Macaca fascicularis: one gene and its partner. The protein of the gene in region 2 interacts with the protein of the main gene of each other region in a pairwise test. Links are inferred from orthologs where the notes say so. Each region holds a gene or a part of one and is shown on either strand. Other genes may lie near its edges.

Region 1 (3,649 bases), on a different chromosome or scaffold from region 2:
GGAGAGCCCAGATCTGCCCAAGCCGCCCAGCCGCATGTCCCGCCGGGCCTCCCTGGTGAGTCCCAAGAGGGTCAGAGGACACAAGGTGGGGTGATATGCCCTTCCCAGCACAGGCATATCAGTCCCAGCTGAGGCCTATATGGTGTTTCCAGGAAGATTCCTGGGCCTCTGGCGCCACCTGCTGGCTTGAGTGCATTCAACTAGATCGTCCTCCTACATCATCCATTTCCTAGATGGGTCCCACTTGGGCTAGAATGGGACTCTAAGCCCACACCAGGTCCCACGATCTCTCCACATGGTTAAGATCAATAGGCCAGCTGGCATGTGCCTTCCAGTCCTAGCTGCCTATCAGAGCTGTTTGGGACATCTTACAAAACACAGACTCTAAGACCCCTCCAGACGCCTATAGAATCAGCCTCTCCGGCTAGGGGGTCCGGGAATCCGTCTTGTTAAGGGTTGGATACACCTGAGCTAGAAGTGTGCTGATGAGACACACCGTCAGGTAGGTGGGTTCTGAACTGGACACTCAAGGTAAAATGGGAAAAAAGGCAGCGTTCACTCTGGAGGAGCTTGTGGTCTCAGTCGGAGACACAGGTAGCCAAGATGTGCAACAATCCCAGGTGCCACAGCCCTGGGCTCCACACTCTCGGCTGTCCTGAGAGGAAGAAACTCACACTTCCATGAGCTCTGTCCTTTATCACAGGGATAAAGGGAAAACGAGCCCCTTCCACCATGGGGTCTCATCCCTTCCCTCCCAGAGGCTGGAGTTGGGGGAGTTGTCATGTCTGTGGAGCTAAGGGCTTCAAGCTCATGGCATTCTGTGTCTCTCCCTCTCAGTCAGACATTGGCTTTGGGAAACTGGAAACATACGTGAAACTGGACAAACTGGGAGAGGTAAGAGGCTGGGTATGGTCTTCTCCAAATAGCCAGGCAGGATGGCTTGGAGGAGGGGCAGACCTCCCTGGTCGGCCCTCTCTGGTTGGCCCTCTCATGGCCCCTGCCCCATAGAGGTGCACAGTCTTGGCCGTGCACTCTGGCCCAGCCTTTGGCAGGGGTTGAAGTGGGCTCAGATCCTGAAGGAGGGCGTGAGGATAGAGTAGCCATGGCCCTGGGCAGAATCCAGTCTTTTTTTTTTTTTTTCTTCAAGTCCTTCTTGCCTGGGTTCAAAACCTACCTCCGCCATTTACTAGCTCTGTGACCTTTGGTGAGTTACATGACCTCTCTGTGTGCCTCAGTTTCTTCCTCTGTCCAATGAGATAGTAACTGTCCTATCACATAAGGTTATTGCGAGGATTGGGCAGGTTATGTACAGCACGCAGACAATGCCTGGCACATAGGAAGTGCTGTATCACTTAAGTATTTCTGTCGTCACTGTGCAGAGGCCTGGGGTGGGTGAAGGTTTACAGAGAGGGCAACACACAGCCCTTTCCCTCCAGGAGCCCAAAGAGGTGACCTCTGTGTAAACATCAGCATCATATAGGGAAGAAAAAACCTGGTGTTATCATAGAGGGGCACACGGCGTGCTGGGGCTTAGAGGAAGACGGATTCACTCCAACTGGGGGTCATTAGGGATGCTTCCTGGAGGAAGTAGGCTTTGGAGGAAACAGCATGTCAGTGAAGGGAGGAAGGGCACTCAGGCCCCAGTCATAGCCCAGGCAGAGGCACAAATGGGGAGACACTGGGCAGAGGCCAGCAGCACCTGAATGTGCCTGGGACCGCTGCGGCCCTCCATCCCAGGGCACCTATGCCACAGTCTTCAAAGGGCGCAGCAAACTGACGGAGAACCTCGTGGCCCTGAAAGAGATCCGGCTGGAGCATGAGGAGGGAGCGCCCTGCACTGCCATCCGAGAGGGTACAGCGTCCTAGGCTCCCACACTCCCCCTGGGGCTTCAGGAGGAGGGGTTCACCAGCCTGCGCCCTGGTAGGAGCTGGGGGTGGAGGGTCATTGCTGGAGTGGGACTCCTGGAGCTGACCCCAAGAAAAGAGGGTATGGGGACACATGGCATCCTGGGGACCCAGGCAGGCCCGTCTCCCCGCAGTGTCTCTGCTGAAGAACCTGAAGCACGCCAATATTGTGACCCTGCATGACCTCATCCACACAGATCGGTCCCTCACCCTGGTGTTTGAGTACCTGGTGAGAGTCGGGCTGGGGCTGGCAGCCTCTCCCTCTTGTGGTAGAAACAGGGTGTGGGTAGGGGAGTGGGAAGCTGAGGAAGTGGGAGAGGTGGGATGAGGGCGAACCAGGCCTTGTTCTGGAATCAGGTTCTCAGATGTTCCCGTGCAGGAGTGGGCCAAGAGCTCAGGCTTAGGGGTGGCTCAAGCCAGGGACCTGTCCCACTAGTGGGCGTGGGCCCTTCCCAGGGAGGGGCTTCCTCTCCTCAGCCTGTGTCCGGGCTTCTGGCCATGGGGCAGGACTGAGTCACGCTCTGTGTTCCAGGACAGTGACCTGAAGCAGTATCTGGATCACTGTGGGAACCTCATGAGCATGCACAACGTCAAGGTGAGGCCTCAGGGGCAGGGTCCCCCCATCTTGGCAGCCACCTGTTCAGAAGCCCAGTGCGGGGACCCACTCTCACCTCCAGGGATCCGGCTGCTGGGGTGGCTCAGACCTTCTCACCTGGGAAAGAGAGAGAGGGCAGTGCCATCAACAAGTCTAGGAACTGGGTTGAGCACTTTACCCCAGGAACAGACACACACTCTCTGCCACTGTCTAGCTGTTGGTATAAAATCCACTCCCAACTCTGAACATCAGTTTCCCCATCTGTCAAATGGGAGTGTGAGCTACCTGCCAGAATGCAGGGAGGCTTCTGGGGAAACTGGGGGTTATGAATGACCTCTTCTGGTGTTTGTTAAAGAATCAAGGCTGGGTGTGTTGGCCCATGCCTGCAATCCCAGCACTGGGAGGCCAGGGCAGGAAGATGGCTTGAACCCAGGAGTTTGAGACCAGCCTGGGCAACATGGCAAGACCTCATCTCTACTAAAAATTGAAAAATTAGCCTGGCACAGTAGTGTGCACCCATAGTCCCAGCTGCTTGAGAGGCTGAGGCAGGAGGACCACTTGAACCCGGGAGGTTGAGGCCGCAGTGAGCCATGATCACGCCACTGCATTCCAGCCTGGGTGACAGAGTAAAACGCTGTCTCAAAAAGGAAAAAAAAAAAAAAAAATCAAGCACATATGTCTCCACATAGGCAGGCATCCTGACCCCCGTGCTCCTGACTGAGACTTCTCTGGCCTCCCCCACACTCACTGCCTCTTCTGCATCCCTGGTGTCCTCCCCTCTGGATGGGACTCCCTGGTGTGGGTTGGGCCCAGGATGGGGGCTGCAGGGTGGGCAGGAGAATGAGGGGCTTGTGCTGACCTCACTGCCAAACCCCTGCCCCCATCCCGGTCCCAGCCTTGGAGCAGAGGCTTAGGACCACCTTCCACCTCACATTTCTCTTCCCCCTCTCCCAGATTTTCATGTTCCAGCTGCTCCGGGGCCTCGCCTACTGTCACCACCGCAAGATCCTGCACCGGGACCTGAAGCCCCAGAACCTGCTCATCAACGAGAAGGGGGAGCTGAAGCTGGCCGACTTCGGTGAGGCTGGGGCTAGGGCCGGGGTCTGATGCCACTGGGGTGCCTCAAGGTGTGGGTGCAGTGGGGGAGGG
Region 2 (4,173 bases):
GGCCAGGGACGCGTGGGAAGAAAGACGACCTATTTCCTACGACCGTCTTCCTAACTGGACCGAGCGGGAGGAGGCGGGGGCTGGTCCCCGGGCACCCCGGTGGGCACCGAGAACTCGCAGAGAGGAACATAAAACCGCACGGCCTTCCCCGAGCAGCGGGGAGACGGGAGGAAGGAAGGAAATGAGAGCTCGACCCGGCCGCGCGCAGAGCCGAGCCGACCAGCCCGAGGGACCAGGGCCCCACCCGAGAGCAGGAGCGAGGGCCGGGGACAGGAGACCAAGCGCGGGGAGAGCGCTGCCTGCACCTGCCACCACCTCGAGACCGGGTGGCGCGGGGCCCGGGAGCGTGGGCGGCAGAGGGGACCGGGCAGCGGCGAGAGCGCGCCTCCCGCCCCGCAGGGCGCCCGGGCAGAGGCCGACCGGAGCCCTCCGACCCCGCCGGGCCCTCCCCGCCCAGGCACCCGAGCGCACACCTGCCCCCTTCAAGCCCTGGGCCCAGAGCGGCAGGCGGAGACCCTGGCGGGGGCGCGGGCCGGACTTCGGCCGAGGGGCGCTGGCCAGGGCGAGGGACGGCCTCGTAGAGCTCGGAGACGCAGCGCGAGTTTTCCCCGCAGCCCGCGGGCCGCGCGCGCGCAGAGACCGCCGCCAGCACTCACCTGCCCGCTTCCCTTAGCGCAGCGGGAACGACGCACTCCGGCCCGGACCCCGCCGTCCGCCTCAACCAACCCCCAGGCGGTGGCGGCGGTGGCGGCGGCGGCGGCGGCGGCCGGACGGGAGGGGCGGGACGGCAGCCTGAGACGGCCCCGCTGCCGCGGCCCAACCCTGCTCCGCCCGCCCCGGACCCCGCCCCCGGGCCGCCGCCGCCGCTGCTCATTGGTCCACACCTCGGACGCATGGGCGCGGCCCCGCCCCACCGCCCAGCCGGCGTTCCGTCCGGGGTCCTCCCCAGCCAGTGGGCTGGCGGCTCCCGGGGACGAGAGCGGCCGGCTCAGCGGCCGCCAACCCCGAAGTCGCAATTGGCTGCGTTCGCCCCCGCCAGAGCTCTGATTGGACGAATCTCGACCCGGGCCCCGCCTACGCGCCCAAGTTCCGTTAGCAGGTTCGGTTGCTCCAGAATGCCTTTTTGCTCCAAGGGGCGGGACCGACGGGATGGGCCCTGTGACTGGCTCCTCCCCCTGCACGCAGCAGCCACTGTCCCGCGGGGCGGGCGGGCGGGCGGGGAGGAGAGCGGCGGCTTGTTCCTCTTTTGAGAGCTCTGCTTTCTTCCCATTGGTTGACAGGCATCCTACTCTCTCCGCCCCTCCGGTCGCTTGGTTTTCGTCTCAAGACGCAGCGTGATGACGTAGTTCCCCGACATTCCACATGCAAGATGGCCGCAGTACGCAAGGAGAGACGTCGCTAAGGGGCTTGCCTGAAGCGAGAGGTGAGTGACCCACCGACTGCGGGCAGCACCGCCCACCTCCCGCGTATCTGGAGGTCGGAGTAGGTTATGGTCAACCGCCGCCATCCACTGGCGTAGTCTCTCTTTCCGGATTCTGCCTCCCTCCGCTAACCTCCGGTACACATTGAACTTAGCGGGCGGCGCGGGGCTGTGGGGCGGGCGTGTAGAGAGGGTCTGAGGCGCCGGGGCGGGGCAGGGAGGCCGGGCTCAGTCTAGAACTGGTAGCGGCCCTCGCACTGGGGAGCAGTCAGAGTTCGGGGACTTTCTAGGGGTTGGACAAAAGGGGCAGGGGTGTTAACCGCGCAGTCTCACAGCCACAGACTGCTCATATCTCCCCGATTATTTCGCGGCGTATTAGTCCCAACCTTGGCTAGGCCTGAGACTTTTTGGAGGTTGTTCCGTGTCTAGGGTACTCCGACTTTGGAGTTTTGAAGAGCCACGTAACGAGGGTGCGACTAAGAATGAGGAAAAGGCACTTCCGCGGTTAGATTTAGTTGTTGCCGAGACATCGTCTTTACGGACGCGCTCCTGGTGGTTGCTTTGGTTTGTTATGAGAGAAATTGTTCTTTAGAAAATTGGAGCGTAAATCTAGAGGTTATCTGACAGCTCCTAAACTATTGTCTGCCCAAGATAGGCTCGTTAGTGCTCGCTAAATTTAGATTGCCAGTTAAACGGAGCTTTCGCTAAGTCATCTGAGGTTAGGAACTTCTAACCATTTCTTAAGGGTGGTGTTCTATGTTTTTAAGGGAAACTTGGTGATGTTTGTGTATCTCGATGTAAATCGCTGTTTACAGATATCTAGCACAATGCCTTGCAATTGTAGGTGCCCACTAAAAGTTTGTATGAATGATGTTGCTAGAATGAAAGCGAGGAGCTTTCAGCGCCTGGAACACTGCCTGACGTTTAATAAGCCCTCCGTATTGCTGAATGAAAGAATGGATAGATGGTGGTAATGGTAATAGTATTGATAGACATCTGGATTAAAGTTATGCCCTTAGGATGCTTACCTGTTAAATAATCTTGACTATGAATATAGTAATTATCCGAGATTGTTTTATTCAGAGCGACTACCACTGCTGTCTTTTAGGGTTTTTTCCCCCTCTTGTATCTCATTTCGATTATACTGTGATGCAGTATTCCAGCATATTAGTCGATTTCTAGGCAAATCCTGTTTAAATTTGTTCCATTTTGAAAATGTAGGTTGCACCAACAAGCAATAAAAACTATTCGAGTTGTTAATGAGGTTCTTAAATGTTAAATGCTCTTTCTAAAATTGAATGTCATAAAGAAAAATTGGTCATAGCCGTGGCCTATAAAATGGGCTAGTTCATTTTAGGACGTTATATTTGAAAGCAGTGACTCTGCTGAGTGTCTAAAAGGGAGGACAGTGTTTTCTGCTTGTTTTCTTTAAAACTGGATGAGGACAAAAAAATCTAGAGGAATTAAATTCAAGGTAATTGAGGAGATTACAGAGTGATCATATTTTTAAGCTCAGGTAAATTGTATACCAGAGTATTTGCAGATGACTTTATAAAATCATTATTCATAAATTTTGAAAAATCCTAAAAGTGCAGTTAATGATAGAAGACTAGAGTCTGGTAAATGTCTCAGTTTTCACACAGAACCATTCGATGGCTCTTGGCTGCTAGGAACCTATTAATAAACTTTTAGAATCTGGTTGGAAGAGCCAACAAGTTTATGAGTACTTGGGAAAGGAGAGCTGATTCCCTGAACAGAGCTTCAATAAGAAAAGGCCAGGTGAGGCCAGAGGTGGTGGCTCACGCTTATAATACCAGTACTCTGGGAGGCCAAAGCTGGAGGATCACTGAAACTCAGGAGTTCAAGACCATCCTGGGCAACATAGTGAGACCTCATCACTAAAAAAAAATAAAAAAATTAGCCAGATGTGGAGGTGCATGCCTGTGGTAGCTAGGGAGACTGAGGCAGGAGGATCACTTGAGTTAGAGATCAAGGCTGCAGTGAGTCGTGATCACGTGACTGCACTCCAGCCTGGGCGACAGAGCAAGACCCTGTTTCAAGAAAAAGCCAGGTGACACAAATCATTTCCTTTTGTTACTAGACTGGTGGTGATTGGGGATTGCTGGACGTAAGTTCATTTAAGTTTATTTAGGACACAGTCTTCCAACAAGATTCTAATACTGTGTCTAGATACAAGAGTTAAATATGCATTGGATAAGGTGTGGTTAGATGGATTGATATCCATGCAAATTACCAACCCCAAAATGTTGATTAATGGGTTGATGTAAACCTGAGGAGTTGTCTTTGGAGATATGCTACAAGACTCTGGTGTTGCCCTTGCTCTGATTAACACTTTTTTATTACCAACTTTAAATATATAAACAGCATGATTCTCAAGTTAATAAATGCACTCAAACCATGTAGTGATAATCAGCCACACATTAGATGACACTCAGAAATCAAAGAGTTCTTAAAGGCTGGAATATAATAATAGGCCAGAACCAACCAGATATAAATTTACTAGGTGAGATCGTCTCAAAAATTTTTTTTAAATAAATAAATTTAGTTGGTGTGATTACATTTACAAAAACTCAGTTTTCCTGGCTTGAGAAAAGTGGTTCTAGGATGTAATGTTCCACTTACAGAAGAAAAGCAGTGTCTAGATTGAGGGAAGGCAGTATCTTGGTATAAAGTAAGACAGATTGTGGCTGCTGCTTGCTAGCTGTGAATTAGTCAGGTTGCTTCGTGTCTCT

What was found.
Region 1: the proteins of CCNK (region 2) and CDK18 interact in binary tests that used the Homo sapiens proteins (3 or more experiments, as listed by UniProt). The two-hybrid records come from large-scale screens. The link is inferred for Macaca fascicularis from reciprocal best matches to the Homo sapiens genes CCNK and CDK18.

Annotation. Positions count from the first base shown.
Region 1 is NC_088375.1:63,365,466-63,369,114, forward strand, and holds part of CDK18 (cyclin-dependent kinase 18), read left to right. Parts: coding exon 1-55; intron 56-837; coding exon 838-894; intron 895-1,737; coding exon 1,738-1,852; intron 1,853-2,039; coding exon 2,040-2,134; intron 2,135-2,437; coding exon 2,438-2,500; intron 2,501-3,454; coding exon 3,455-3,578; intron 3,579-3,649. UniProt on the Homo sapiens protein: May play a role in signal transduction cascades in terminally differentiated cells.
Region 2 is NC_088381.1:167,557,160-167,561,332, forward strand, and holds the start of CCNK (cyclin-K), read left to right. Parts: upstream 1-1,352; 5' UTR 1,353-1,558; intron 1,559-4,173. UniProt on the Homo sapiens protein: Regulatory subunit of cyclin-dependent kinases that mediates activation of target kinases.